Linked DNA regions of Lepisosteus oculatus. The protein of the gene in region 1 purifies or fractionates together with the protein of each later gene. This does not show direct contact. Links are inferred from orthologs where the notes say so. Each region holds a gene or a part of one and is shown on either strand. Other genes may lie near its edges.

Region 1 (8,394 bases):
TGCTGGTACCAACGAAAAGCCATTTAAAAATGAAAAATATTATACGTCTTAAAGACCTTATACACAAAAAGTTGACTTAGTACAGCTTTGCAACACCCTGTTAACGTTCTTTAGATTTTACAAAATCATACTTTTAGGGAAGTTCCAAATAGTTTCCATCAAGCAGTTCGCATGTAAAAACTCTTCTCCTTACCTTATCTCCAGCATTTGGATTCTTATCAGGATGGTATTCTTTTGCTAACTTGCGGTATGCCTAAAGGAAGAATATAATAAACAATTTTAGTTTGCGAGCCACTATACTTGGATTAAACCACACAAATCTAATAAACGTGGGCTGATATGCTCAGATAAACATAAGCAATAATGTTAACCCTGTGACAAAACACAAATAATATGCTATGTTTTCACGGGAGTTAGTCTTACTGTACTCATGACATTGTCTGAGATAACACTGCAAATATTTTTATACATCTGCAAACAGATGTTCCAAAAATAAAACATTGTCAGTATGCTTGGTTAGATCATACTGCATATATTGCTTAAGGCCTTTAAAGCACAAAAGGTATTCTTGACTGGTACAGACCCCTTATCTACAACATGAATAACAAAATCCATTTCCCAAGGGTTTTAGGCGTTTTCAGCATTTTTCTACATCTGAAGAAATACCAACTTAATCTAATTACTTGCTCAATTAGACATTTAAGACTTTCCAACCTACTGAGCAACCAAGAGATCAGGGAAATCAAAGTTGGTAAGACTACTGTCACTGAATACCGGAAACCAGAAATACACAATATACATTGTCTTAAGTAAAATTCAAAAACTAATTCAACTGACACGACTTTAGCTCAATGTACTCACTAGGGACCAACTGATCTGATTTCATAGCTAGAAATAAGATTAAGTATTCACATATGAATTAACAAAAGAAAGTACATTAAGAATTTAAACTTGAATTACTGAATTCGTTTCTTAAAAACCCAGAATCAAATGTACTGATATATCGATAATGTTTCAGTCATCTAATAGCTACCTTAAGCCTCGAGGTTTATAGATGCTTCTGGAAGTTATGCTAATTGCCACCAGCTGTTAAAGAACACAATGAGCACAGAACCACTAAATACCACATCATGGAGAAATTAATAATTTTCTTAAGATCCAACTTAAGTGATTTACCTTAACTTTATAAAAATATCTAGAAGAGACCACACTTTTAACTTGTCTCCATCAAGAATTTATGGTTGGTCAGGAAGAAGATAGTTATACCTGAAAGTGTGTTCAGAAAATTGGTTTGGTGACCTTGTTTGTTAATTCACAGCCAAAGGTAACAATTGTGTATCATTCAAAAAACCCTCAACGATGACCAGGACAAAACTCCTTTAAAGCTTGACCCCCTTAATCTGGAGTCTGTGGCAGAATTCCATGGCATCATAAACACTTGCCAAATGGCAACCTCCCAAATCAAACGGTGCTAAACAATGCGATTCCATGGAAACAGATCTCAGATAATCATAATACAGTGACATGATTAATACAAAAATAATTTCATGTTGATAAGGAATGGCATCCCCTTCATCATCAAGAACAGAATTACATTCAGTGTCAATGCAGTTTTGCATCCTCTTGTAGCATAGTAGTGTCCTAGGTAGAGCTGGTAGAGTGATTCCCAAGGTATTCCAAACACAAATTGGTGCCTAGAAGATTAAGCTTGGCTGCAAGTGGATTTTACAATAGCCTGTGTCATGTTAAAATAAAGCACAAAGCTCTACAATGTTCTGCTAGAGACTGATGACAAGTTGTGGCACCAACTGAAGAAAGCAGAGTTAAAATACAGACTATGCAAAATACTACAGTAGTCAAATATCCCTGGAAAGGTTATGAATACAGAGGCTACCATATTTTAAAAAGAAAATAAGGACCAATAGGTACAATATAAACCCTCACTCAAAGTACTGCGATCTTCAACCAATGTCAAATGCAACTTTGTAAAACTAAAGTAAAATCTAGACAGCTCAGAATATAGCCAGCAGTTGTATCACCCTGCAACTCACAATTGACAATCCACTGTAGCCAAGCAGGTGTGATGCTGGCCAGTACCTGGATGCGAGACCTTCCAGGAAAGCGAAGGTTCCTACTGGAAGAGATGTTAGCGGGGCCACTAGGGAGCACTCATCCTGCAGTGTGAGGATCCTAATGCCACAGTTTAGGGATGGGTACACTATATTGTAAAACTGTCCTGACCTTTGGATGAGAAGTAAAACCGAGGTAATTAAAAATCACATTTCTCAAAAAGAGTAGGGGTGTTGACTGTGGTGTCCTTGCCAAATAATACCCCCAGCCTTTACCAATCATAGCCTCCCTATGATAATCCCCATCTATGAATTGGCCTCATTACTCTGCTCTCTTCCCTAATGATAACTGATGTGTGGTGAGCATAGTGGCGCACTCTGGCTGCCATTGCATCATCCAGGTGGGGGCTACACTTTGGTGATGGTGGAGGGGAGTCCCCATTACCTGTAAAGTGCTTGCGTGAAAAGTTCTGAAAAATTCTATAAGGATCCACCTGGATAATTTGCACATTCCTACAACTTCCCCCTTCGTGGGATTCACAGGAAGTAAAACCAGAATACAAAGGTAGCCTTCCATGGGCAGGAGAACACCACTTCGAAAAATGGGGTAGAATTTAAACGACTGTTTCACAGCTCTTAAAACGACGTAATTTTAACCGGCTTTTTTTCCTGGAGTTTGATTTGTGATTTCTCACGCCCTTCGTATAGAAATAAGCGGCTCTCTGAATATTTGTGGCCCAAACACGTATATAAAAGAGAGATAAGCAGACGGCCGCACGATATCAACCGAATATTTTCATGTCAAAATCGCAATAAAAACAACGAAAACGATTTTAATCACCAACTTACAGCGGCTTACCAGCCATTAACGAGTTTTATAAATGTAAAAAAAAGAGTCCAGCATTTGTTTACGTCTACTTAAAAATGATTCCCCTCCTCCGAGAAGACCTGTCGTTCTCAGCAGTTTTGGTTCAACAGTTTTACCTAAAATGAAAACCAACCTTAAAAAAAAAAAATCGAGCCTCGTTTCGATTAACTTATTGTGACCACCTTTCCTCTTCAAAGGCAACAACCTTACACGGAATTCAAATAAAGCGATGTGAAACCACAACTCACTGAAAGGTAACGCCGGGTTGAATGACAAAGCAGTGTTGCACATAAATAAAGAAGATGATCACAAAATAGCCCGGCAGTGAGTTTGTTTCTTTTTTCAGTTGGGCCCGGTAGTGTCTTACAATGGATATGGATAATGCTGCTAGGCCACATTTATCAACCCCCTGCTTCCTTCTTCCTAAAGACTTCCCCGCAGTTTGCGACGCTAAGGTAACCGACACCAGCGAACACACTTAATGCTCCCGTTCCCTTGTACCTTTTTCAGCTCGTTTTCAGAAGCACTGGGGGGCACCCCGAGGATGTCGTAGAGTTTAGTATCAACGGCGTTCGCCATGATGGAGCACAGAGAAGGACCTTCTGCAGGGGAAGCGGAGGAGAGAAAGAGGAGCCGGCCGGAAACGTCACGCGCAACGAGTCAACTTTAACCTACCGGCTCCTGCGTCACTTGTGTGCCGTTGTCTCACGTGATCGATGACGGAGCCTGGAGAGGCACAGAAGTGCAGGACGAGGTGGGAGCTGGGCATTGCTTCGGTCCTTAGAAATTCATGTTCATGGCATACTGGAGGTGGAAGCGCTTGCTAATCGTGTGAATAAAAACAGCGCAAGATACACGCTGTTTTTTTCCAGCGTATTCCTTGTCTTTAAAAGGTCGCTGTATTTGGCGTGATATATTTTTATGATTTTCTGACATAAAATAGATGTTTAAAAATATTGATTATTTTCATTGTAAACAAAGCAACGCAGCACGTAAATCCCAACGGGGTACTATGTATTATTTCCATGCGTACAGTTTTGATCTTTAAAGAGGTCTAACGTTTTGAATAGTGAAATATAATTGACTATAAAACACAAAAGCTCCTTTTACTGTTGTTGCTCTAGAATTGGAATGTGGTGGAATATATCTCCATGCTTGTAGATACGTATGCCCCAGGAAAATACTCTGGCACTGACTCAGGACTGTGTATTTAGTCTAAATGTTATATAAAAACGACTGAGAATGTTACACAATCCTTTCCCTCTTGCTCAACATAGTGATCATGACTAAAGAGCATGAATTGAAATGATGTGCACCTTTTACAAAGACTTGGAGCAAGAAACACTTTTCCACAAAGGAACAAACTAAATTCATATTGTGGATGTTGAGTCTCTGAGAACATGAAGAAAATTGTGATGGATTTCTGAGGTCATTAAACTTCTACAGCCTGATGAACGAGATGACTTAAATGGTGTTCTGCTCTCATCTGTAACGTTTATAATGTTCATATTTTAAGGATCGTGCCAATTAGTCCAAATGAAAAGTGGTTTTGTTGCCTGTAATAAATTAACAATTAGCAGGCTCTGCCTCATTTAGTCATAAAGACTAAAATGATCATCAATATAAAATGTTCTTAGTACTCTCCAAGCTGGTCAGTGATTATAGATAGTACAATGTGGGCAAGCAGTATTTAATTTGTCTTACCCATTGGTAAAATGTCTCACATTTAAACATCTATTGACTTAAAAATAAATTGTTGGTTTTACTAGTTATTTTCACATTTTAGGCAGGATAAGTACAAAACTGTGATCATTTTCCAGGAACTTTAACTTTGTTCTAATGCTATCCTTATTTTCATTATTTGATTGAATTTCCACTTGAGAAATTAGTTTAACTGTACAGTACATACACCTGTCAAACTGTGAAATATTGTAGTTATAAATCCACCTGCACATCTAAAGAAAGCATAAATCCACTCTTGAAAGTAAATCTAGGATAAATACTCAGTATAATGTAAAACAATATTTTATATTAAGTTTACTAAGCTGTGCCTACACACTGATTTAATAGTCAAAGTATATAACCCTGCAGATGTGAAAAGTGTATAAGCAAACACATTATCAGTACTGGTAAATTACATTAGAAGTGCAATTCTGGAAGCACTACTTCAAGCGAAATGAGAACCTGTTTGATTTACTGAGAAATGGTTTAAATGACTGACAAAGTCCTGATTCTGTCAATGTTTTTTTTTAAAGCAATTTACATTAGGGGACAAATCATATTAGAATCTCACTGAAACGAATGTTGACAAAAGAGCTTTTTGTATACACAGATATAAACATACACAGGTGTATGTGTATAATGAAATGGCTTATTTCTGAATGTATTGTTGATTTGGAAGAAATCATTCTTTACCTTTCCATAATATTAAGATACAATTTTTTTCTTTCTTTCATAATGCTGTTTGTGACACAAAAGACAAACTAAGTACTCCAAACTTTAAACTTTGATGTAGTCAAAGTTGACTTAAAGTAACAGATCCCATCACAGCTGAAAGTAATTGTACTAAAAGGTGACAGTAAATGATTCAGTTTGCTGCAGCTTAATGTGATCTCTTAATATAGAAATAAGTTAAAACAATTTATGCTAATTAAGGAATAAGTCACTAGTCAGTGCATGCCTCGTTAGATTAAGCAAGAAAATAAAATTCAATAATAAGTTGCACTTATATTAGAGTGTTTGTGTACAGAGAGACAGGATTTCTAGAACAATAAAATATTTTTTCAGTAGTGCTATGTCAATTTTAAGATTTTTTTAGCTTGTAAGACAATTTCTATCATACCCTTCTTAATGTTACATTCATTAATGTTACATGCACCAGTTACTGAATTTGAGAGTACTGTACCAGTTTATTTACATTCCCTATCCTTATTGTGTACAGTATCAGTTACATTTTAATTAGCAGTTTTTGAAAAAATAAATTAGCTTCTGTCTTTCCCATGAGGTTTGACTGTGATATATATTTTGAGCACCAAGAGAAACATGTCACTGTTTTTAGCAAAAATAAAGTACAGGGATTTGGACTACTGATCGGGAAAACCACAGAAACCAATATGCCCATCAATTACATTTTCTACAGTCAGTTTGTTAGAGGAATGGACTCCTCCAGAAAAATAGTCAGCGCACTTTTGCTTGCAACTTATACTTATTACTTAAAGAGCAGAGTAAAATGTTTGATGTACTGTAATAAAAAGTGAAAGTGCAGGTTCCATTCATTAGGTGTCAAGCATTACAGCTGAAAGCTCACTTAAATAATCTGTAATCTCAAAGGATTCATTCATAATTAAAGTTAGAGATTAAATTAGAACTCCTTAAAAAGGTATGCTTTTTAATAAACCCCTCTGAAAACTAGAAAATACATTCACACTCAGCAGTATTTTTGTAGGGCTTTTATCCAGTATTACATCGAGCCTGTTCTGTCAAGCTTTGGGCTGAGTGGTTCATTCTGTTGCTCAGTTTAGTAGCCTAATCATGCAGTGCATCGTGAGTTCTTGAAGGTTAAACAGGAAGGCACACTTTTTCTATCAGCACAGCTCCAGATGTACAATAAAAACAAGTGATAAGGGAATGATGTATTGTTGCTCTCCTGGCCTAGGATCAATAGATTTTGTTGAGATAATGTTTATAGGAAAAAAGCTACATGTAATTTCTGTGTACTATTTATTGTCAAACTCATCAGAAACAATACTTGACATAAATAAAATGAAAATACAAATCATTCAACTTCACTGTGAAGTCATTTTTACATTTTTCTCTTCAATGCATTTTTTTTTCTGGTATAGGAAATACAGAATCCAGTAACTGAGTACAGTAGTACATTTTTCATGTGCAGTTCTGTATGAAATTGTTCTAAAGGACTGAAGGGTGAAGAAGATAAAAGTTACAGAATGTAATATTTGAAAGTTTATTATTAAAAAGACAGGTAATTGTATATTAAAGCAATATGGAGGTAAAGACGTTGTAGATGAGCCATGTCAATCATGTCAGTGTGGATGGCACTGAATTAAGAGTTTAAAAGAAAGGGCACCTGCAACATAACCTGGACAAGCACTCGATACGTTCTTAACCATAAACCGAAATCATTTTTGGGATGTGATCCTCTCTGATTCCCTGTTGTTCCCTGATTTCCTGTTGTTATTTTCAGGCTACATGAAGTCAAAATGTGTAGAAATGACATAGAAATGATTGTCACCTCCATTCTGTAGAGCCATGCCATATTTTGTTTAGTTGAATATATTATTAAAGGAAATCACATTTTGGAAAAATGAACCTAACTCTGCAGTTACATAGAGCAACATCTGCAAACCACTGAAGCAACACTGACATTTCAATAGAACAATTTTCTAGGCTGCTGGAGGATCTAATAGCTGGTAGAGAAAACTCTAAATACAATTAATTAACACTCCATGTAGTATAGATACAACTGTGAAAATGTTGGTTAAAACAAACAGAGAAGTTAGAAATTTGTTATGATAACTGAGAGTAGAATGTTTACTTTTCATCATTGTGTCAATGTAGATAAGCTCTATATGTGCGCTTATCAAACACCTGTGCTTAAAGCAGGCAATCAAGACAAATACCTAATACCACGATGATTTAGTTTAGTCCATAGGCTTAGTCTCAACACCTCCACACATTTTCTTTCTCAATAAGGACAGAATTAAATAGGAATTAAAATTCTCTCCTTTTTGTCACAAAAGAACCAAAAAATGTTATTACAGAGTGGAGACCTTCAGACTAGTCCATTGGTAATCACAATCTGGGAACATTAAAGGACCATTTTTATTGCCATATGAAGACCTCTAAAATTATGTACTTATTTTCTTACATTAAGGCATTTCTGGGCATTAAAGTGGAATGGTAGTCAGCACTGCCATTTCACAACCCCTGGGTGCTGGGTTTCATTCTGGCCTGGGTTGTCTTCTTGTGCGGAGATTGAATGTTGTGCCCATGCTGTCCAGTATGTTGAATTTAATGTTTCCTGGGTTCTCCAGTTAAAGGTCCAAAGGCATGCTCTCCAGGATAATTGTCATTTCTAAATTGTCCCACTGTACGTGTGTGTGTATACCCTGGCATAGACTAGAAAGCTTTAAAAAGTCAAATGTGCTATGAAACTCTTTGAATGAGGAGTAAAATTAAGAGCCTGCTCTTCTCTGCCTTTTCTGTGAGTGCACCTCTTCACTCACAGGACTGATAGCTGACTGCTTTTAAACAGTCAGAATGGGTTCTAGTTTCATCAAGTAAGTCTCTACTTTAAACTTTTTGGATTGGGCTTTTTTTAGATTCAAATAGAATGCAATATCAAAGACTTTGTTATGATGTTCAAAGACATCTCAATAGGATCACTGAAAGCAAATCAAGCATGGGGGATGAAATGGACAAATCAACGACTGTACT
Region 2 (8,154 bases), on another chromosome or scaffold:
TGAGCCCTGTTTCGCGGCACCAGCAGAATAAGCACCTCCCTGATGGATTAAACCCCTGTGCAGTCTGACGATGGATTACCCTATGTGACATTTTTAAATGCTACAATTAAATATTGATGGAGGACTTCATTAACATCAGCAGAGCAGAACTCATCAGTAAAACCACTGTGCCCTTTGGACTGGTTGTATTTCATGTGGCTCTGTGCTTTCTCTCTGCTGCTGGAGAAGAGACGGATCGATGCTGTTCAAGGGATCTTTTATTCCACGCAGAAAGGGATGTTACCCTATTCCTAGGGTCACCTGTGGCACAACAGGGCCCTGATTTACCTTCGGATTCAGAAATCGGGCAGCTCCTCTATCTCGAGATTCCACCCCTTCTCCAGTCTTCCTAGATGCATCTCCAAATTTCAAATGCATCAGACTTGGATTGAAAATGAATGCCAAACCCATTGCCTAACCAATGTTATTGCCAGTCAGAAGGAGAAAAGGGATGTTCTTGAACATGCATTCATAGAGGAAAAGCTGTGCCTTTTCCCAGAGAAGCACAAACATGACAACAAACAGCTGACATCACCTCACAGGACCCTTAGTCATCCATCAGAAGGAGACAGCAATGTGTCACAGCTCACATTGTGCAATGAAGTACTAAGGGCTCATGGACACATTTCTCCTCCCTCAGTCAAGCCCCCCAACCTCCCAGTGGAGGGGTATCTATAGAAAGTTGGAAGACAAACTCTCCCCCCATCAACAGCAGAAAGAGGATCCCACAGAAATGCAGTCCGCAAAAGTTCCACTTGCCAAGATCTGTGGTTTTGCTCAACAAGAAACTATACTTCCTGCTCCTGTAACACTCCATTCATCACTCTCTCTCTTTAAAAAAATCACGTGAGGTACTTGTGTGAACCGAATACAATGTTTACATAGCGCAGTGGGTAATGCGAAGCTGCCTGCAATAACTTTTTAAAATATTGAAGCAATTTTTTTAACAGGGTTTTAACTTAAACATGGCCCTTTGTCTTAAAGAATCCTAAAGGTTTTTAACACAAAACAACTTCAATATTGTCATAAATACGGCAAGGGCACACGATATATGACAAACAGAACATCAAAAGAATTGATAAGCACTCCAACTGCATTGTAGCACAGGCAAACCAACAACAGTAGCACAAAACGCACGTTTTGTTGGTTGCATTTACTCCCTGTGGAAAGACGAAGGTTTTCAAACACATTACCAACCATTTGTCACATCAAAGCACAGGTTTAGAATTGTTACCGGTGGGAGTACACGCTATTTGTTTAAGGAAAAATGCAATAGTGCATTGAACTCCCACTCCCACATAAAAGCACACGGAAACTGCCTTCCCCCAGAAATAAACAGTTCTCTTAAACGTTCAACATGATGAGCACGTCCCATATTGTTTTTTTAAAGACCGTCTCTTTCCCCCCTTACGAATTACAATCTTAAACCAATATACCACCATGTTGCCCTGGTCACAACTAGTTTAATTTAATAAAATTATCTCGATCAAACGCTATAAGGGATGAAAACACTAGCGCTGGGAATCAGTTGATTTATAAGAAAAAGAAGTGCCTGCAACACTCTCAAAAAGAGGAACAATACCCCCCCTTTAGGCATTTCATACATTTGACAGAAACTTGTACGATTATCCCAAATACACCTCCTCACAGAACAAACTGCGCGAGCTGGTAGAGACGTGTTTTGTGGGCAATGCACCCCTAAACTGGTTGCTTACTGGGGTTTGAGATACACAAAATACGCAGAAACTCGTAAATTGTTTGCATTTTTTTCTCGATTTAAATTTACCACATAGTGCCCCATCAGAGCCATCACACTATAAAATGACTCATACTAATGGTATATTCCCTGCACTTTAGGTGCGTGTCATTAAACGATGTTTTAACTCCTCCGTAAAGGACAGTGTATGCGGTTATTGTCCGTTTTCCCACTGTAAATCCATTCAGGCGAGAACAACAGTTAATTTGGACATGAATGTGAATGGAACAGTTATGAATGTGCTGGAGCACGCGTTTTAAAACACCGAGCTACTTCGCTACATGATGCAAATAAACAAGGCGAAATAAACTACACCTACTCATATATACGGTATATATTAGCCAGCTGGTAGGTTGGACGAGAGACCAAAATTTGTTATAGAAGCATTTCGAAGGAATTAAAATGTAGTTAAAAATGCTAGAGAAACGCAAAGTACAAACCGAGAGCGAATCAGGATAGACCGATTTTTCTCAATAGACCGATAAAGTGCCTTATTAGAGTAACGGGTTTTGACGACTGGTCTTAATATCAATGGTAATAAACATGAAGGGGTGAACTGAAGGAAGAAACACAGATTTGTAAAAATATATGAGGAAATGCAACTTCTCTCCGCGTCCATCGGCGTGTCTAACTCCTAAGAAACTGCAGCACTTCAATTATTGTTAAACCATGTTCTGCAGCACGAGGAAACTAATCGATTTAGAAGCACACATTAAACCCCCAGCACTGGTCAAACTCCAGAGATGACACATTTTCCATGACTTTCACAAACTAGGAAGGCGACAGACAACAACACACGAATCCCCTAGCCGTACGCAGATGCAGAGATTTGTTCTCAGATTAGCGGGACCGTTAGACTGCAATTTTTCCCAGCTATGCCCTACCTTTACACGGGTGCTTAAAAATAAGATAAATGCAGATTGTATGAACGTCTCCTCACATTTGAAGCGTGCATTAAAACTAAAAATGCCCCCCCCTTTTAACTCTCAATACAGTTCACTGATACAATACGAGTCGGCATGCTTGCCACCAGAAAGAAACGGACGTCTTTCCCAAATGTTTCAACGTTACCTTATTAAAAGCAAAAAGGTCCTGTTTGATTTTCTCTCTTTGGGGATCATTCCCCTGTCTCCTGAACCTAAACTTCATCATCCTGAAGCCGGTGGGAAAATTAGTGAGAGCCAAGGGGAGAAAAAAAACCAAATTGTAAATTCCTTCTCAGGTTTGTATCAGTGCAAAACAATGAGATCCCATAGACAAGCTCCCGTTTCTTTGTAGTCTGTTCTCAAAGGCTGCAACTGGATACCGGGGAACTGGATACATTTCCGTCCAGATTGGCAACTGCTACAGCCAATTGGATCGGGGAGTTTATCTACCGGGATCCAATCAGAGAGGAGATGCTAGTGGGCAGGTCCGTAGTGGTTGATTACAGGAGACTGAACCGTGTGAGGATATTGTTCCAGCATCTGGGATTTGTAGTTTCGTCCCCGCTGCTCTCCTCAGTTTGCTTTTACAGTTGCGTTGCTTCACCAATGTGGGTCACGGGTGCCCAGCTCAGTGCGTACAAGAGAATTGCCACAGCTTTGCTTTTGTAACGAAGCAATAACGATAGCAGGACGACGAGCGTTGCGCTGATGCGGAATGGGTTCCTTCAGTGCTTCGGTCGCGCAGAGGTGTGTGTGGCGACACTGCTCCGACTGTAGAGAAACACGCTATTGCACTCACCGCAGCATCACGGAATAGTGTGATGCGCCACGTTTCTGCAGTGATCGTGAGTCCGCAGAGGGAAAACCCCTCTGCGATGGGGAGGGGGTTCCCTCCACGGTGTGTGTGTGTGTGCGCGGCTGAGGGATGGGCGAGGAAGAAGTTGAAGCCCCCTTAGACACATAACAGGCTGCGGCGCTCACGCATTCCAACCGCACCTCTGCAAAAGGAGAGGGGTTACCGAGGAAGGCGGTTTTACAGCTGTGCTGTGAGGGAACTGCGGTATTTTGGCATTTACCCCTCGTTTTACAATTAAAATAGCGTTATTAATTTTCTTCTTAAAGGTAGCGCGCTTCTAACACGTGTAACATTTTCTGGGGTTTTCCTTGCTGCGCGCATCGGTGCTTTTTACAACACAGCTGAACCATTGCAATGCGCCACACACACCGAGCAAACTGTTCTTTTTAAAGCTGAAAACATCCAGCTCAAGGCTGTGTTTAATTGGGGGGAAAAAGGGCCCTGTAGCACACGACAGAACACAGTTCTTATAAGTATTAATTACAATTGAACACGGAAGATGAAGACCAGATCTCAGTTGCTGAAAATGCTGAGGTCTGTAGGCGGCGTTCCCCCGAGCAGGTGAGAGCAGCCTGCTGTGCGATTCAGCAGCGACTGGAGAGAGGCGGGGGGGTGTCACACAAGTTAATATTGTGGACACATACAAACCACTGCAGCTCTGCTCCAGACAGGAAGGAGAGCCAGTCAGCACCTTCCTCGGCCTCGTCAATCTCACGCTGCAGGATGAGTCTTTTGGCAGCGAGAAGCGGTTGTTTTCCTGTAATGAGTAACGCTGAGCTGTCAGAAAACACCCCCAGCGCAGTCAGCGCGTAGTACAGGAAGCTGAGCTTAGACGAGCGTGTTTAGGTTTCATTGATATTCTATTGATGTTCAATTTACTATGAACTGAAGGTTTGTGGGATTTTAATAAAGCACCTATACACAGCAGTAATGACACCGACCCAAACCTGCTGTACTGTGTGTGCATGACGGCTTTGCCAAATACCTTTTTATTGTAAATTGAATATAAGCAGGGCATGAATCTTAAACCCCTTTTCTACAAGTTAATCTTGTGCATCTGGGATACTTCACGCGGATTTGTCTTCTGTGAAAACCAATCAACTACGAACGCATTTTCACGTCAAAATGCACGCCTGGTCTGCTGCAATTTCAAAACGCGTCAACCGTCAGAGAGGCAAGAGACTGCGGCGGCATTCTTTATTGATCACGTTAGGCTCGGCTGCGGTTTTTCTTTTTTGCTTTCCGAAAACGTCATCACGTTCAGACGTCTTGGCAATGAGAATGTGTGTGTGTTTTTTTTTTCATTCCCAAGGCGGGAGGAGAAGATGTGTTAAAGCTGATTTCATTGAATTTACAGCACAGCCCACACCGTAACGTTTTATGTCCAATAGGGGGGTATCTGCAATATATTTTACAAATGAGCGTGAATTTGAAAAATCGCAGAGATACATGCTGAGTAAGTCCCATCATTCACAGCATCCCTCTCCAGTAAAGCCCCGTTTTCATCTGTTTCTGCTCTTCAGGTTGGCAGGTCTGGAGGGGCGGGGTGGAGAGGGACAGTCTGTTTACGCAGAGCGCTGCTCACATGAACTTGACACTAGGCAGGCTTGGATCACAGCCAAGGCCGGGAAGCCAGAGGAACTATTCCAGACCCGAGCTATTCGGGGAGTACGCATTCCTATCAATCAGCTGCACGAAGGCTAATCAGCAGCGTTTCACCCCCATCGAAGGTGAAATGCCCGAGAGCTGGAAGAGAAAAAAACTGAAACGAGAAGAAGTGGCAGTTCTTCACGGCTGCGGCTGAACCGTGCGCCTGGCGTCCGCTGGCCGGGGGCGCAGACTCTCTGATTGCTCGACTTCTGATCGGCGTTTCCCGGGGTCTGGCGATGCTCTTTCTCGCTCACACTCCACGGCTTGACCTGAAGCGGAGACATTAACCAGAACCCGAGAGTACAACAGCCTCTGCAGTCACCCTCCCTCCCAATGTATCTCAAATGCAGTACGTTTTTGTCTGGTCTCATTCCAACACCTCACGACTCTCACGGAAATTCGTGCTGGACTGTGAAGCACACTTCTTCAGCGTGGGGAAAAAATAAATGTGTTTCTTTCAGACCCATGAAATCCCCTCCCTTTTTGCAACTGCAGAATTCGCTTACGACTGGGCTGTTAATACGGGTCCCATTCACCACACCCAGTCCATATAAAAATGTTTCATAAAATGTGAAGCAGAAGAAAGGCTTGTTGGGAGTAAATGCTTAACACGCCTTTCCCGCCCAGTTTCTAAATCTGAGTTTTTTCTCAAGGGTTAATCATTGATAATGGTAAACTACTCAGAACACAACTCCGCCGTCCTGGGAGTTAAGACTTCGTTCCTTAACATTGTTTTAACGTCTGACGCCCCCTTGTGGCAAAAATAATAAATATTTTAAAAAGAAGGCCGATTGCTGTTGGCGCCCTGAGGTTAAAAGTTCCGAGCTCGAGACTTCTGCCCTTAGAAAGTCTTTAATGTAAATAACCACACGATTTAATGTGAAATCGCTTCGAAACAAGATCTTGTATTTTCTTTCAAGATTAACATGGAAATAAAAAAATTCAAAGTTCATTCTCAAAACAGTCGACGGGATAATTTGCTGTATAAATGATCAAGCCTTTATCCTTAAGTCATTAGAAAACCATTTTATTCCCGGTGTTCACTGTGTTCAAGGGGGTATTACAGCATGGGCAGGACGGCATTGAAGTCAGAAACGACGTCAACTGAATTGAGCTAATTCAGTTATGCCCCAGTATAGTGACGGGGACACTATACTGTAAAGAAAAGGCGCCGTCGTTCGGATGAGACGTAAAAACCGAGGTCCTGACTCTCCGTGGTCATTAAAAATCCCAGGGTGTTTCTCGAAAAGAGTAAAGGTGTTAACCCTGGCGCCCTGGCCAAATTTCCCATTGGCCTTTTCCAATCATGGCCTCCTAATAATCCCCATCTATGAACTGGCCTCATCACTCTGTTCTCCTCCCCACTGATAGCCGATGTGTGGGGAGCGTTCTGGCGCACTATGGCTGCCGTCGCATCATCCAGGTGGGGGCTACACACTGGTGGTGTGGAGGGGAGTCCCCATTACCTGTAAAGCGCTTTGAGTGGAGTGTCCAGAAAAACGCTATATAAGTGTAAGGGATTATTTTGTACTGTGTATGTCCCGAGAGATCAGCGCGATTAATTCTAATATATGTGTACATACGACAATAAACTACTCTCTACTGATGTTTCACTGGTGATTCTGAAGACGTTTAAGCAGGCGCCTTGGAGGATTATGAATACTTGGATCACAGCTTTTAAGGGAGGGCTTTTTGAACACATGGGGAAGGCCCTCTTCCTAGTGTGGTTGACCAAAGCTGTTTCTCATCACCTGCACCTACCCTCTGTTCCCTATACTTTCCGATTGTGTCCTCTGGATAACTGTGGATTCCGAGGACATCTGTAGATTTGACAAATACCTTTGAAGATTTTGAACACTTGCATCAGGCCCCCTTGTCGTCTTCTCAAGTCTTTCATCCAAGAGCTGTCCAACACTTGTGCTGGAGGACTGGTGGGTCTACAGGTCTTTTAGGTTCCTTTGAAACAGTAGCATCTGAACAGTGGGAAAGGTGGGTGAAATGGCCTATTAAAGTCAATCACAAGCCAAGGAAGGTCAATTAGATTTCAGCTGGGATGAAAAATGTGCCAACACCTTGGCCCTGCACGAATAGGACTGGTCAGCCGTGTCTCAGCCCGCCAGAGTGACATATTCCTTTGAGCCCGGGAACGGACCGGGTTGCTCTTTCCTGATTGATTCCTGAGCAGTCACGTCACTTTTCTGTGCTTGGACTCAAAATTGAACCCAATACAAACAGTGCCTTGACATCTTGAATCAAAAATTGTCAGCGCCTGAGTTGAACATCTTATCCGAGCCAGTATGTCCTTGGAAGGTGAAGGGATACGCTGAGTGCTTGGACTCCCCCCAACAAAAAGAATAAAAACATGCAAACTCCACATAGAAAATGCCTCCATTCAGAGAAGTCCAGGACTCGAGAGCTGTGAAGACGCAGTGCTGCTAGAATCAGGTGAGTGGCGTCTCTTTAGCTGCTGATACTTGGACAGGTTAATTTGAGACATTTCAAAAATATTTTTCACTTGCATGTACATAGAATATCACTCATTTCACTTCACAATTGCCCTGCTTTTAAATTTATTAATGAGAAGCACTTATCCTACCTTTGATGAGATTATGACCAGATCAATATTATAAGATATGCTGATTTAACAAAACCAAACCAAAATCAAAAGCGTCTTTCTGCTTTAATTCAAACAAAACTTATTACACTTATGAATACAACCCTTATATAAAACTCACTTTGCTTATTGAACTATTTGTAAAGAAAAAGACCAATATTTCCCTGGATTGCTAATCATGTGTGCCTGTTATATTATATCAAAATGCTCTTCAGCAAAAATACATTTTGTTGTAAGATCGCATACTCCACACAGGGAGACAGCTGTACATAAAAGTCCCATACACAATAACTTCTTCGTACATTCTGGTGAA
Region 3 (7,828 bases), on another chromosome or scaffold:
GGTCTCTGATTCTGGATCTGGAGAGCTGCAATCCACTTATTCTCAGTATTAACAACACCACAGTGATACGGATTGATTAACCAAGTGACCTGTTCAATTAAAACTGGTTTTGAATAACCTAGCTTAACAATTGCCATTCCTAATTGGCCACAGTGTAATTATTCCAGGGCTTTAGAAATTGGTGATTTAGCGGTGACCTATAAGACCTTCTGGATCCAGGCTCTGCAGAATCAGGGTTCGAGACCTCTGCCCTAGACTGTGCAGAAACCTCACCGGGCCTTCCCACTCGCTGTCACTGCTGCACTCGCTGTCCGACCTGGACCTGCTCCGTGACGCGGCAGGCTCATCCGACGACGAATGTCTCTCCTGACAGACGACAAAGTGCACAGTAAACATGTCGGCTATCATCTCTTCAAATGCTGTGATCAAGCATGAAATTATTTTTTTGTCTATTTATGATTATGTTTTATTGCAAAAGGACATTTTCTATAGAATATTTGCTCAGTTTTTCTTTAATATCCAACACCAAAACATAATCAGTTTTAAAAAGAAAGGCTTGGGCCGTGCACCTAAGCATGAATTCGCAGAAGCTGAGCACGCCAACAAGCACGGGAGAGACAGAATTAGAGGGTTCCCGAGATATCATAACAAATAACAAAAACATCCGTCAGAAGAATGGCCTTTTGTAAAAGGCACAGTTTTGCGACGCACAGAAGGCGTACGTAATCAGCTGCGTCTGCTTTTGATTTGTTTTGTGTGATGCTGGACTCCGTCACTGTACAATCTCCCTTTAATCACTGCAGATCGAGAAAAGTGGGCTCTGTTGAACACCCTCAATCAACTTCTACGAGTCCTGATTTTGGATTCTAACCAAACCCCACCGTGACTGACCTGACTAGGCCCCAGACTTTTTTTGAGGTTTCTATAACTGAGGACTGTGGGTGCCGATTCCCTGGGATCTTATACCTTTAAAGGATTTCATGCTAAAACTTGCTAGTACACTAGTGTAGCGGAGCTAGTGTGGTGACGTCAGCGCCCTCCCTGGGCGCAGCAGGGACCTCAGCTGCCTGGGCTGAGGGAGGTCTCCTTTAGCTCATGGGGCTGGTTCCCTGTTGCGTGACGCCGGAGACCCGGGTTCGCGCCCCAGGTGCTGCGGGACGAAACGGGGTGGCGGAGGGCACGAGCCCGCGCGGAACCGCGACGGTCACACTAGCACAGCCTCACGTAGAATATCCTGTCGGATTTTGGTCACCATGTAATAGAAAAGATGTTGCAGCTCTGGAATCAGTCTAGAGAAGAGCAGCCAGACACATCTGAGAGTTTCAGCGAACGTCCTACACTGACAGACTGAAGGAACTGGACCTTTTTATTTCTTTATCAGAGATGACCCCAGGGTGGGGGGCACTGTCTGTACTGAAAATCCTCAAAGATATTTGTCAAAGAGAACCAAGCAGGCATCTTCAGAACGAACAGTTAGAACACAAACCAGGGGGAATAAGGGCAAAACACTGTACATGGAAGAGCACTTAAAAGAACCGACTCCTTCACCCTCAGAGCTGTCAAGAGTCTGGAACGAGCCCGTCCGGCCTTGTTGGTTAAGCCCTGGCTTCTCCTCGCATCAGTTAACTACTAACTCCCGAGGGGGCTCGATCAAGAAACAGCTGAATTAGATCAGCTACAGACTGGCCATCAGGGGCGAACGGGTCTACCTTTCTCTTGACGCCCTGCCCCGGGGCCGGGTGCGCTTTCCCGGGCGACTTGCGCATCGGGCGCTTGCTGGGCAGGACCTCTCTCGGCACGGCGGCCCCGCTCCTCCCCGCAGCCGCGCCCGGGGGGCTCGGAAGCAGAGTCTGCTCCTGTAAGATGTTTGCAGGCCAAAAAAAACGTTACTCCACTTGGTTAACAGGCTGGGAGGGTGTGTTGCAGTTTTGCGCTTGTGGAGGTCTAAAAACAGCGTGCCGATTTCAGATTTGATCCGTCAGCCTGAAGTTTTCGGCTCCTGCTATACTCGGGAGCACATTCCTCAATAAAAACCACCATAAGGGATTTCAATCCCAGTTTCCCCACTAATAATAATAATAATAATAATAATAAAGTGGCAGGAATCCTCACAACCAAGCACGTTTTAAACGCAAAAGCGGAATGAATCCAGGTTGATTCTTTCCTGAACAGTCACGGTGCAGAGGCTTTTATTCACATCATCTCCCGAGGTAAACATTACTTAAATTAAAAATAAAATGGCATAATGCTGCTCAAATTTGATATACCGCACAGTAAGCTCCCGAAACGGCTTTTTTCCGAGGTACAGTAGAGGGTGTGGAAGTCAGGACAGGTCTATAAGAAAGACGACGCTATCGGAGAGCTCCGAGCACCGCGCCGGGAACCCAGATCCTGCATGACGTCACGCCGCCGGTCCCGAAGAACAGCGGAACTCCGCGCAATGCACTCGAGCGGACGGCTTATTTCTATATTACAAACATTAAACGTACCACTAAATAAAACCAGTTCAAATATGCAATGAGTTTGGCAGGGCTCACTGACGTGTACCACGATTGCCGAGATGCAAAAATAACAACCCCCCCCCCCCCATCTAATCATGGCACCAAGACTTCTTACAGCGAGTTGACAACTCTCTCAAAATACAGATACAACAGTTCTGTACACCGAAAGAAGACGGTCCTGGCAAGACAGTAACTACATTTCCTCCTCAGCAGCGTCTTTCCTTGCGTCGGGGTTTCACGTACAGACCAGCAGCCTTCTTGACTCAGACGCGTCTCAAGCAGACAGAACAAGACCCGCAGCCAAATCCTTGCAGTGTCGTATTAACCTACATCTGCTCTACTGCGGCCGTGGCGTGGTCTACATTGTGTGAAGTCTGCAACGTAATCATCGAGAAGATCAACCTGACGCAGAGAAACACTTGTTCCGCCACTCGTCGGAGCTCCCACGCACAAGAAACAACCACCAAGGTTCAGTATCGGCGACAATTTCTCAAGAACAAAGCTAAAAACCCGGTGTAAACTCCTGTAATGAGAGAACTCACCTTCATTCGTTGTAATTTCACATAAGGAATACAACCGGAGTTAAATTTGCTTTGCTCAGCTACAGACCTCACCGCTGTTGGCATTCTCCGATATTCCTGTCAAGGAGTAATGTGCTTTTATGCGATGTACAAGCAACCTTTCCCGTCCCTCCGCGCCTGCAGCTCCGTTGTGTAAGTTTCAACTCTTCCCGCGGAGTTATGAAACAGTTCCCTCGCGCGCTGGCCCGGCATCAACAGCCGCGTCACGCGTGACGTCACCGCCGGCGCAGCCCTGCCGCGAACAGGCTGGTAGGGGAACTGCAGTTCAACGAGGGAGCTGGCGTGCGGGCGGGTGTCATTGAATCCCTAAATAATAATAATAATAATAATAATAATAATAATAATAATAATAATAATAATAATAATAATAATAATAAATGCTTACACTTATATAGCGCTTTTCTGGACAATCCACTCAAAGCGCTTTACAGGTAATGGGGATCCCCTCCACCACCACCAATGTGCAGCCCCACCTGGATGATGCGACAGCAGCCATAGTGCGCCAGAATGCTCACCACACACCAGCTATCAGTGGGGAGGAGAGCAGAGAGTAATGTAGCCAAATCATAGAGGGGGATTATTAGGAGGCCATGATTGATAAGGGCCAATGGGAAATTTGGCCAGGACGCCGGGGTTACAACACCAGACCTCACCTCAGATCTAGTGTGAAATGTTAAAAAAATATAGGAAATCTGCAACGTGCTTTCCAAGGCTACGTGTTTGGAAACCTGCAGTATATTTTCAATCCGTTGAGATTGGCTGTTTAAATTGTATTTATATGATGCTAGTATAACAGTGTTTGTCAGCTGGCTGAAAATTTTCCTACAGATGATTTTTTATTGAAGAATATACATCAGAGATCAGAGATGATCCCGGGGGGGCACTGTCTGTACTGAAAATCCTCAAAAGTATTTGTCAAAGAGAACCAAGCAGGCATCTTCAGAACGAACAGTTAGAACACGAACCAGGGGGAATAAGGGCAAAACACTGTACATGGAAGAGCACTTAAAAGAACCGACTCCTTCACCCTCAGAGCTGTCAAGGGTCTGGAACGAGCCTGTCCGGCCTTGTTGGTTAAGCCCTGGCTTCTCCACAATCCAGCCATAGTGCGCCAGAACGCTCCCCACACATCAGCTATCAGTGGGGAGGAGAGCAGAGAGTAATATAGCCAAATCATAGAGGGGGATTATTAGGAGGCCATGATTGATAAGGGCCAATGGGAAATTTGGCCAGGACGCCGGGGTTACAACACCAGACCTCACCTCAGATCTAGTGTGAAATGTTAAAAAAATATAGGAAATCTGCAACGTGCTTTCCAAGGCTACGTGTTTGGAAACCTGCAGTATATTTTCAATCCGTTGAGATTGGCTGTTTAAATTGTATTTATATGATGCTAGTATAACAGTGTTTGTCAGCTGGCTGAAAATTTTCCTACAGATGATTTTTTATTGAAGAATATACAGTATATTGAAGAATTATTGATTTTCCAAGAGCTTTTTTTCCCTAGTTTTGATTATTTTAGACTCCTATTTTTTTCTTTGAGGAATATTTTGTGACTGGAGGGCTTCAGAGACAGATTGCAGAATTGCTCATTTGAAACCCCAGCTAGGGTCAGTGTTAGCATTCACACGCTACTTAGACAATTTTTACCTTTAGCTCTGGATTCTGGGGCCCAAGTCAGTGATCATTTGCTCTTACCTCCAACTTTTTGGAACATTTGAAAGTGTTAACCCATTAGAACTGGCTTTCTTACAACCTTTGATCTGACTCCAGTTTTGGAATACAATCCCTGAACCGTGCACTGCAACATCCAAGCGGCCAAAAGTCTTGAAAAAAAGAAAAAAAAAAGGTTGGAGATAGGAGCAAATTATCAGCCTTCCTAGCGCTGGCTTAGGTCGCACAATCCAGCCCTGATCGTAAAAATGTTCTATGTAGTGTGTGAATGCTAGCCTCATCCGTAGCTGGGTTTCAATTGAGCAGTTCCAGAACCTGAGTCGTTCGTCTACCTGTGTAGCACCATTCAGGAATCAGGGAGTTCCAGCATGGAAGTACTACGACAACTGGCAATTGCGCCCAGCTGCATGAAGCAGCTCGAAAGACATGACTGGAGATCCCGCATTATAATAATAATAATAAACTTTATTTTATATAGCGCCTTTAAAGGTGGCTTCTCAAAGCGCTTTACAGGATGACAATAACAATAAATAAGAAGACTACAACAATAAATAAGAAAATTTCACAAGACAGGACACAATTATAATTACAACAATACAACAATAACAATAGAGGAGACCGTGGAAGATGGTATTAAGAAGAGCAGAGGGGTGAAGAATGGAACCAGTTAAGTAAAGGCTTTACTGAAGAAGAAAGTTTTGAGTCTGGATTTGAAGGAGTTTAGAGAAGGTGACTCTCTAATATCCTTGGGTAAAGAGTTCCAGAGCTTGGGGGCATAGCAGGAGATGTGCATTAGGGTCGACCACAATTTTTATGTGCTCGGCTGGACGCATGCGACATGTGGTGCCTGGGGAAGATCCTGCAGATCCCCTATGCCAGACACGCAACGCATGCAGAAGTTCGACGCACCACCGGTTGCCAACCAATCTCCCAGTTGATCGATCTCCGATATTCCTCTGCTTCTTCGGCCACATGGCAGGAGCTGCCCCGTGTCAGGATCTTCATCATCGCGCGACAGCTGCGGGCGCTTCAGAAACCCCAGCCGGCTGGAAGAGACCAAGGGGCAGACCCGGCCGGACCTGGCTTCACACGGCTGAGGACAACCTGAAACCTCTGGATATAGGCCTGGACACGGCTTGGCAAAGGTGGCTGATGGGGGCGGCTCCTCCGCAATGAAGCTTGCCGATCATGATGATGATGATGATGATGATGAATCAAAATTTTTGCGAAAGTTCCTCAAACCAAAAGATATGATTCTAAAGCAATCAAAACTAATAATGTTTCTTTATTAGCCCTATACAATTTCTTGCATTAGGAATGTGTCTTTTTACATACCCCAGCTTTTTCTCCATGGAGACACAGACACAGAGACAGGGAGAGAAGCTGGGGGTCAGAGCGCAGGGTCAGCCATTGTACAGCGCCCCTGGAGCAGCTGGGGTAAAGGGCCTTGCTCAGGGGCCCAACGGAGTAGGATTCCTCTGCCGGCCGCGGGATACGAACCGGCAACCTTCCGGTCACAGGTGCAGATCCTGAGCCACAGGGCCACCGCTCCGCCAGTTATTGCAAATGCATGGTCTTCAATAGAACAGGTTATCATTATACTGCACCTTTTGATCTTACTCAGTTTTCAAATTCCTGAGTGCTGCAATACCAAACAAAGGCAGCCAAAAGTCTCAGAAAAAAAAAAGATTCAGATAGGAGCAAATAATCACTCGTACTCATGTTCCCTTGGCACCCAAAATCCAGCACAGAGCTTCAAAACTGTCTAAGTAGTGTGGAAATACTGACCCTGATCCCAGCTGGGGCCTCAGCAGAGCATTCCTGCAAACTGTCTCTGAAGACCTTCGAGCGAGTGAAATACCTAAAAAACATACTTAACTTACTTAAAAACGTCAGAGTTCTGGAGTGTGTATCAAAGGAGAACCTAATAATGCCCTGCTGCAGCTGATGTAGTCAGTGTAGTCAAACATCCTTCTCACACAGCTGCAGGAAAGAGAGGGAAATGGATGGAGCTCTTTTAAATAATCGACTTGAACACTGGGGAAGCCACTTCATATTTTCTGTATTGAATTGCAATATAAACATTGAAACTAAGTTCATGTTAAATTTGCTTCACTACTGTTTTATAAAAATAAATAATGGATTACTAATGTTCCTTTCCCAGACCTTGTGTTGTATCTTAAGCATTCATACAGTGACATAGCAGTCATTTACTGTACGTGCCTCATTAGTGATTTCAAACCTTGTATCTCCTTGTAGTAACATTGTGTATAACATGGTCACGATTTACATATTACCACTAGGTGGCATTATGCAGCTGTCTCTTGAGTCCTCACATCGCTGTGTACATTCTCACAAGAGAAAGAATCAGAAGGGAAAGCAAAAGAAAATACCTTGGGTTAAGTTCCCATGCTATGAAAAAAGTACTAGTTATTCATAGCTTTCGATTATGTAAAGTCTATTGACTACTTATTGAGATAACAGCTTTAGCTTTCTGATAAATTCTTCAGGATCATGACCAGTAGATAAATTCCTAAAACTGTTAAAGGACATTTGGTAACAAGCAAATAAGTTTCTATGCAATCCCTTCCACTTGTTTTGAGAACATAAACTATAGTGATCCAGGGTCATTAAGAACTTGTTTACTGTTGATTTAATACTGTAGACCACCTCTTATGAACAGTCATGAACACCATTTGACTTCTAGAACACAGGTTATCCAGCTTCCCCCAACATTAGACTATTGCATTTGTATTCACGTGGTAGTACTCAAAATGTACACATGCATCTTATAGATTGTGTCCACAGGTATTGCCTGTGAAATGAAAAGTGATTCTGGAATAAATTACATTTAATGTAGAGTGAAAAAACAGACAAACTGTAGAAGTTTCAAACCCCAACCCCGGAACAAACATTGCATCTTAGTTATCCAGATACCTGCTCAGGGAACTGTTTGCTCTAATAGTTGAAGAAAACAATATTCATTTTCATTTTTTAGAGCCCGGTTATTTGCACCAACATGACAGTTCATCCCCTCTGCAAACTCATTCTTAAAAGTGAAATATTATCTCC
Region 4 (7,985 bases), on another chromosome or scaffold:
CGCCCCACAGCCCCTCGCGGGCGCAGGGACTGTCTCGGGGCGTACAGAGCGAGAAGAGCGAAACGCGGTGTTTCACCTGCTGAGTCCAGGCTGACTCCGGCTCCTCCGCTCCGGAGAACCCCTCTCCTACCCCTGCGAGTGTCAGGGAGTGACCCTCCCTCTCCCCGCGGAAAGTGCTGGAATATATGCAGAGAGCGGCGAGCCTCACCCCGTTTTCTCAGTTCCTTTCTCTACTCATCCCAACTCCCCCACCGCCTCAGTGAAACACTGTCATTAGTTTAAACAAGCAGGTCTACAGCACAGCGTAACTCCCCCCGCCTGCGTTACCGTAGGACGTCGACAATTGCGCGCCTCCAAACATTCCACACGTGGCCTCGCATTACCGTAAATACCCGAAACAACGGGACGCGTCGCGCCCCTCCAGCGTCTCTACAAGGGAGCTGAGGCCCGTTCGATAGGTAGTGAATTAATCTGAGGATCTCCACCAGCTGTTCCTTGAAAGAAAACAGATGTTGAGGATCTTACCAATATGGCTAGGGGGGCAGCTTGTTCCACACTCCCACCACTCTCTGTGTAAAAGAAGAGCGCCCACAGGGTGGGGGAAGATGCACAGTGGATGTTATAATTTGGGCAGGTAGGAGGGGGTGACATGGGAAGGTAGGTTCCTTCATTCCTTCTGGCCTTCTGGGATCCCCACAGTGACACTGGGAGCCAGGAACTCCTCTGGATCAACAGCGAGTCAGTGGTCACAGATTGTCTCCACCATCCCTCTGATTGAGCAGGCGGCAGGGTGGCTCAGTGCTGCGGCCCTGGGTTCAGATTCCAGACCTGAGGGTCTGTCTGTGTGGAGTCTGCATGTTCTCTCCCTGTTTGTGTGGGTTTCCTCTGGGAGCTCTGGTTTTCCACAGACCTGCTGGGAGGCCGACTGGGCTGCTGGGAAAATTGGCCCTGGTGTGAGTGTGTCTGCCCTGCGATGGACTGGTGTCCTGTCCAGGGTGTACCCCGCCCTGCGCCCACTGCTTGCTGGGACGGGCTCCAGCTGGAGGAAGCAGTTAGAAAACCGGTGGATGGGCGACTCTGATTGGATGAGATGGTGCTCATGGCCAGGAAATGAAACAAACTCTGAGACTCCTCTCCCAGCACTGCCCTCTAGCTGCTGAACAGGGGTTCGAGGACTGAGCCTGCTGTCTGTGAGGTTTCCAGGCTGTAGCCCCCTTTTTCCTTCTTTGCAGCACCTTACTGAGGGCTCCCAGGGCCTCTGCTTCACCCACACCGCTGGGCAGCTTGTTCCACGCACCCACCACTCTCAGATCAGCTGTGAAGTGCAGCCCCACCAGAGACTCAGGTCCTCTGTGCTTGAAGTGGGACAGTATATATTGCACACATGCAGCACTGCAGTGTCAGTGCTTAAAAGGCACCTTTGAGCAGGTGTGAGACTGGCCACTGGGATCTGTTAACTAGCCTTTACCAAAAGGTATGGGAAGACAGGACACAGCTGACTCACTTTCACTGTGACAACTGACTTCCTCCTACAAGGCGTTAAGAAAGAATTGATCACAAAGCAAAGGACAGGACAAGCATCACAAACACACCATAAAACAATACAAACTCTCAAAGGACAGGACAGGCACGCAGTGTGACACAGTAACTCTTGTCTCTCAGTGTGACACAGTACCTCTTGTCTCTGTATGTCACCTCTTGCAATGTGTGCATCAGCTGCTGTGCTAACTGAGCTCAATACCACTGAAACCACACAGGACTGACTCTCACTCTTGTGATGATGAATTTCAGTGTTATATGTGCCTTTCGAGATCACACACAGTTTCCAGTCATCATGGGTCTTAACTCATTCGGGGAAACTGGCTCATATGCACACACACCCGCCCATGTGCCCTCTCTCATCTTCACCCGCTGTCCCGAACTCTCACACCCTGGAGCGTCCCAAACTCTCAACTTTACCCACTGTCCCAAACTCTCACACCCTGGAGCGTCCCAAACTCTCAACTTTACCCACTGTCCCAAACTCACACACCCTGGAGTGTCCCAAACTCTCAATGTCACCCAGTGTCCCAAACTCTCAACTTTACCCACTGTCCCAAACTCTCACACCCTGGAGCATCCCAAACTCTCATCTTCACCAGCTGTCCCAAACTCTCACACCCTGGAGCGTCCCAAACTCACACACCCTGGAGCATCCCAAACTCTCTTCACCCGCTGTCCCAAACTCTCACACCCTGGAGTGTCCCAAACTCTCAACGTCACCCACTGTCCCAAACTCTCATCTTCACCCGCTGTCCCAAACTCTCATCTTCACCCGCAGTCCCAGACCGCACTGGGGGCGCCTGTCTGGCAGGAGACACTGTCTTTGTTGGATATGTTCTGCCATTCAGCCCCACACTGGCAGGAGTCCCGGTCTGTCCGTGCAATAGTCACGATACTCGATAACTCGGCGGCGGTAAAACGGACAGGATATGAACTGAGCTCACCTTCAAACAGCCAGTCCAGCGCAAGGTCCGAGCGAGCCGGGGGGAGGGACTCCGGGCTGGAGACGTCCCTGCAGTCACCCGAGCCCTGTGCGTTCAGTCCTGACTGTGCCTGTCCACCCCCGTGACCAGACCACGAACAAACATCGGTAAACTGCAGCGAGGACGGCAAAAGTCAATTAAAAAGAAAACAGTTAGGTTTATGAGGAATTAGACGTGTCAGTTTTGAGTTACTGCCAAAAGAATAAAAAAAAACACGCAGGTCGCCGTGTGAGGCGGTAAGACGATCCGTGGACACGCCGTGGACGCTTAGCAACTTCGGGCGGCAGGGACACTCCTGAAAATAACCCTCAATCGCAGGGATCGGGGCTGCAGCGACCGAGAGTGAAAAAAATTAAGGAAGTCACAGCCGCTCGGGGACAGAGGGCCGTGCGTGTCCGCGGACTATCGCGAACTCTCCAGCGGGTCCCCTGTTTGCAATCAGCGGTCCACGTCCTCCGCGCGTCCCGATGCGCACCAGCACAGGCGAGGGCGGCAGGCTTGGCAGAGCCGCTATTCCTGGCTCCGGCCGGTGCCCACCCTCTCCCAGCCCCCTTTCCGTCCTTTCTTCGTTAGTTTTCCAGCGGCGGAATTTACTTTATCCCGGGATACAGGCTTTCCGAGAGCAGGTCGGCCCCATCTCCCCGCTGCGGGCGCAGACGCCCTCCTTCTATCTCTCGGTCTCAGCGCCACGGGCAGGTCCCTGTCGTTTTGCTGCCCACGTAGGCTATACTTCGCTCACAGCTCCGCCCGAGAAGTGTCTTGAATTCGGTGTTTTTTTTTATTCTTGTTCTTGGTTTTTTTTTTTTGCGCGAGTCTCTGCTGGTTCTGTGCCCGGCGCCGCGCGCGTGCCCACGGGGAGATCGGCGGCTCGCGCCTCTCGAGACCCCAGCGCGCACGGGGCACCCTCTCGTGACCTCTGGGGTCAGACGGTTTGACACTGTATAATTCAAAGGCGTTGCTTTATGGACACGGTTGTATACAGTCACGCAACAGATTGCAATAGGCTTCGATACACCCTGCTACTACCACTAGGCGATATGGGTAGAATTACAGCGGACCGAGACTAATCAATTTATTTTGGTTTTAAAATAGATTTAGACATTCAGTTAGGTCACTTACATAATGCACTCAATTCAGGTTTTTAACAAAATGAACAGTTAGCAAGAATATCCCTTCAGATAGCACACAGATCACAGGGCGAGGTCAGGAGTCCGGCTCCGAGCTGCTGCAGACCAGTTTGTGTATGTGTGTCTATCTGCACATCATTCACAGGGCTGTTCCACTGACACACCTGTGGGCAGGACACACACAGGACAGCCCAACAGACCTGATGGACCTCACCTCTTTACAGGCACACACACACAGGCTCGCTCATACACATGACAGACATACAGACTGACACACATTCACATGACAGGGATACAGGCCTACACACACAGACTCTCACAAACACTCACATGACAGGAATACAGACCTACACACACAGACTCACAAACACAGGCTTCCACTTACACATGACAGGGATACAGACACACACACTCACATGACAGGAATACAGACTGACACACAGTAAGAGACAGAGAGGGAAAGGAAGTAACAGAGGGAGATCCAGAGTTACAGGATGTCACTGGGAGACACTGGGAGAGGGAATCAGAGAAAGGAAGGGAGAGAGGGGACTTGTTCTGTCTCACAATAATAATAATACAGCGTGTGATCTCCTGTCCCAGCCTGAGGAGCAGATAGTGAGCCCTATCTCACTATCTGCTCCTCAGCACCTCTCAATAATAACAATACAGTGTGTGATCTCCTGTCACAGCCTGAGGAACAGACAGTGAGCCTGTCTCTCCATAATAATAATACAGTGTGTGATCTCCTGTCACAGCCTGAGGAACAGACAGTGAGCCCACCTCTCAATAATAATAATAATAATAATAATAATAATAATAATAATAATAATACAGTGTGTGATCTCCTGTCAAAGCCTGAGAAACAGACAGTGAGCCCACCTCTCAATAATAATAATACAGTGTGTGATCTCTTGTCCCAGCCTGAGGAACAGACAGTGAGCCTGTCTCTCCATAATAATAATACAGTGTGTGATCTCCTGTCAAAGCCTGAGAAACAGACAGTGAGCCCACCTCTCAATAAAAACAATACAGTGTGTGATCTCCTGTCACAGCCTGAGGAACAGACAGTGGGCCTGTCTCTCAATAATAATACAGTGTGTGATCTCATGTCCCAGCCTGAGGGACAGACAGTATCACTGTATCAATAATAATACAGCGTGTGATCTCCTGTCCCAGCCTGAGGAACAGACAGTGAACCTGTCTCTCAATAATAATACAGTGTGTGATCTCCTGTCACAGCCTGAGGAACAGACAGTGAGTCTGTCTCTCCATAATAATAATACAGTGTGTGATCTCCTGTCCCAGCCTGAGGAACAGACAGTGAGCCTGTCTCTCCATAATAATAATACAGTGTGTGATCTCCTGTCACAGCCTGAGGAACAGACAGTGAGCCCACCTCTCAATAAAAACAATACAGTGTGTGATCTCCTGTCACAGCCTGAGGAACAGACAGTGAGTATCACTGTATCAATAATATTACAGTGTGTGATCTCCTGTCACAGCCTGAGGAACAGACAGTGAGTCTTTCTCTCAATAATAATAATACAGTGTGTGATCTCCTGTCCCAGCCCGAGGAACAGACAGTGAGCCTCTCTCTCAGTAATAATAAAACAGTGTGTGATCTCCTGTCCCAGCCTGAGGAACAGTGAGCCTGTCTCCCAATAATAATAATAAAACAGTGTGTGATCTCCTGTCACAGCCTGAGGAAAAGACAGTGAGCCTGTCTCTCCATAATAATAATACATTGTGTGATCTTCTGTCACAGCCTGAGGAACAGACAGTGAGCATCACTGTATCAATAATAATACAGCATGTGATCTCCTGTCCCAGCCTGAGGAAAAGACAGTGAGCCTGTCTCTCCATAATAATAATACATTGTGTGATCTCCTGTCCCAGCCTGAGGAACAGACAGTGAGTATCACTGTATCAATAATAATACTGTGTGTGATCTCATGTTCCAGCCTGAGGGACAGACAGTGAGCCTGTCTCTCAATAATAATAATAATACAGTGTGTGATCTCCTGCCCCAGCCTGAGGAACAGACAGTGGGCCTGTCTCTCAACATTAATAATACAGTGTGTGATCTCCTGTCCCAGCCTGAGGAACAGGGAGTGAGTATCACTGTATCAGTAATAATACAGTGTGTGATCTCCTGTCCCAGCCTGAGGAACAGACAGTGGGCCTGTCTCTCAACATTAATAATACAGTGTGTGATCTCCTGTCACAGCCTGAGGAACAGACAGTGGACCTGTCTCTCAACATTAATAATGAAGTGTGTGATCTCCTGTCCCAGCCTGAGGAACAGACAGTGGGCCTGTCTCTCAACATTAATAATACAGTGTGTGATCTCCTGTCCCAGCCTGAGTATCACTGTATCAGTAATAATACAGTGGGCTCCGCTTGTCCTGGCAGCTGTCTGGGGTCAAGGCAAGCTGCTGGAGCGCTGCTGCTCCCAGTATCCAGAATTCGCACGGCTCTTTTTAGAACAGGGAATTGGTTTGACTGCTCATTAACGTTTGGCAGCGAAGTGTCCAGCAAAGCCTAATGAAGAGTAAAATACAGAAACAAGCGGCGCGATCTGGCTGCAGCTGTTGCTATGGCTACCACCGACAGAAGGGAAATGTCGCACAGGAATCACACGCTGCCCCCTAGTGGAACAAGCCTGAAACTGCTTAGAGCCTGACTGTACCCTGTAAAGGCCCAGCTAGACAGTCTGATATAGAGACTGTACAGAGAGACACTGGATAGCAGCTCAAGAGAGCGTTAAAGACAAAGCAACCGGGATGCAGACATAGTTTTAAATGCTGTGTCGGAATGACGCTTTCTGCTGTTTCTGAAGCTCCCCCCCCCGTGCTACACCAGCAGTTCTGGTGTTTGGCCAGTAGGTGGCACAGGTGTCCGCTATTCGGGGGGGCGTCCGGAGTGCTTACAGCCCAGACTGTGACCCTTCACTGGGACTTCCGCGCTTCCATGGAAACGCCGGAACACTACAGGGGCAGGTCCAGTCACTACCCTGGTATCACCGGCTGAGGAAGAGGAGGAAGGAGGAAGGAGAAGGGGGGATGGGGGGAGGAGGTCAGTCCATACACGCTGGGTCTCTCGGTTGTGAGACACAGACCATACCGCTGACTATGGCTCGTTATCCATAGTCAAAGCAGATATGTTTACAGAGAATCATAAACGAGAACGGGACTTATAGGCCCTGAGAGTATTTACCATGGTACATTTCAGTGTTAGTCATAGAATACTTCCCTGGGCTATCCAATCTTACATTTGACCATAGCTTTCATTTACAAGTGTTTCGAGTTTCTACTGTTCTTCTTTGCTTCCATCCTTATTTCACTGGTCTTTACTGCGCTCTAATCCTCATTCAGTGCTGGCGACTGCTCTTTACTGTTCTTTCACCCTGATTTCGGAAGTCCTTACTGCACTGTACTGTACTGTGCATTGCTGTAGTAAAACGCGTTTCCCCACGGTACAAGCGAGCCCCGCTGGGGCAGGAGAGCTGTAGCTAAACTCCTCAAGAGAAAGCGAGAAAGCCACAGGCAGGCAGGAAGAGCTCCAGCGGGACATAACAGAGCATCACGCCCGCCAGCCACACGCCGACCCCCGCAGGACGATCGACCTGCACCGCCAGGCTCTGGGCTGGGCCGGGCTGTCCTGAGAAGCAGTTCTGCGCCTCGCTCTAATCAGAGCACAGGCTCACCTGCCACGGCTGTGTCCCCGGGACGCAGCTCCCACGGGGCCGACTCCGTGAGAGAGCGCTGCCGCGGGGTCATTAAAGGCCCGGGCCCCGTCGAGACAATCTGAGCTCTCCCCGCGAAGCGCCAGGAACTCGGCCGGGGAGGCACGTTTCCATGCCCCCCCCGCTTCGATCGGTCCCGGCGGGTTTCCACGCCGGCCAGCTCTGCTCACACGACAGCACGGCGAGAGCTGCTCTCTCCCGTGTGCGGTGACGGTCACCTTCTCTACCAGAGATGGAGACACTGCGTAACCGCTCTGTCCCAAAAACACGGGTTAGAAGGCAAGTAAGACAGATTCGTGGTGCCATTTTATTCAGACTAACAGTTAGGGATGAACTTTGCATCGTCGGCACTATAAGTTTTTGAGTCTGAAAACCGGTCGGACAGCTGGTTTCGGCGCATCTTGAATTCTGGGCTACTCTACTTCTCTGAGGCGGGTGTGGGGGAGGGTGGGTTCGGTGAGTCCTGAATTCCAGTAAACTGTAGATCTCTGGGCCGGAGAGAGTTACAGGGGTCAGCCTGGGTAACAAAAAACCTTTAAGATTTACCAGCCAAAACCGCACCCTAGTGACGGTTAATTTTGAAGCCAG

The links.
Region 2: the proteins of dnaja2a (region 1) and llgl1 purify together in Homo sapiens (co-immunoprecipitation; 3 studies listed by BioGRID and IntAct, with this or other methods). This does not show direct contact. The link is inferred for Lepisosteus oculatus from reciprocal best matches to the Homo sapiens genes DNAJA2 and LLGL1.
Region 3: the proteins of dnaja2a (region 1) and wdr76 purify together in Homo sapiens (affinity purification with mass spectrometry; 3 studies listed by BioGRID and IntAct, with this or other methods). This does not show direct contact. The link is inferred for Lepisosteus oculatus from reciprocal best matches to the Homo sapiens genes DNAJA2 and WDR76.
Region 4: the proteins of dnaja2a (region 1) and pld2 purify together in Homo sapiens (affinity purification with mass spectrometry; 3 studies listed by BioGRID and IntAct, with this or other methods). This does not show direct contact. The link is inferred for Lepisosteus oculatus from reciprocal best matches to the Homo sapiens genes DNAJA2 and PLD2.

The regions. Positions count from the first base shown.
Region 1 is NC_090715.1:6,801,410-6,809,803, forward strand, and holds the start of dnaja2a (dnaJ homolog subfamily A member 2a), read right to left. Parts: upstream 3,596-8,394; 5' UTR 3,517-3,595; coding exon 3,439-3,516; intron 254-3,438; coding exon 194-253; intron 1-193. UniProt on the Homo sapiens protein: Co-chaperone of Hsc70. Stimulates ATP hydrolysis and the folding of unfolded proteins mediated by HSPA1A/B (in vitro).
Region 2 is NC_090714.1:11,061,855-11,070,008, forward strand, and holds the start of llgl1 (lethal(2) giant larvae protein homolog 1), read right to left. Parts: upstream 3,543-8,154; 5' UTR 2,948-3,542; coding exon 2,867-2,947; intron 1-2,866. UniProt on the Homo sapiens protein: Cortical cytoskeleton protein found in a complex involved in maintaining cell polarity and epithelial integrity. Involved in the regulation of mitotic spindle orientation, proliferation, differentiation and tissue organization of neuroepithelial cells.
Region 3 is NC_090700.1:56,865,463-56,873,290, reverse strand, and holds the start of wdr76 (WD repeat-containing protein 76), read right to left. Parts: upstream 3,275-7,828; 5' UTR 3,128-3,274; coding exon 3,044-3,127; intron 2,876-3,043; exon of another isoform or gene 2,745-2,875; intron 2,737-2,744; exon of another isoform or gene 2,268-2,736; intron 1,857-2,267; coding exon 1,710-1,856; intron 367-1,709; coding exon 274-366; intron 1-273. UniProt on the Homo sapiens protein: Specifically binds 5-hydroxymethylcytosine (5hmC), suggesting that it acts as a specific reader of 5hmC.
Region 4 is NC_090698.1:9,970,282-9,978,266, reverse strand, and holds the start of pld2 (phospholipase D2), read right to left. Parts: upstream 3,505-7,985; 5' UTR 2,487-3,504; intron 499-2,486; exon of another isoform or gene 77-498; intron 1-76.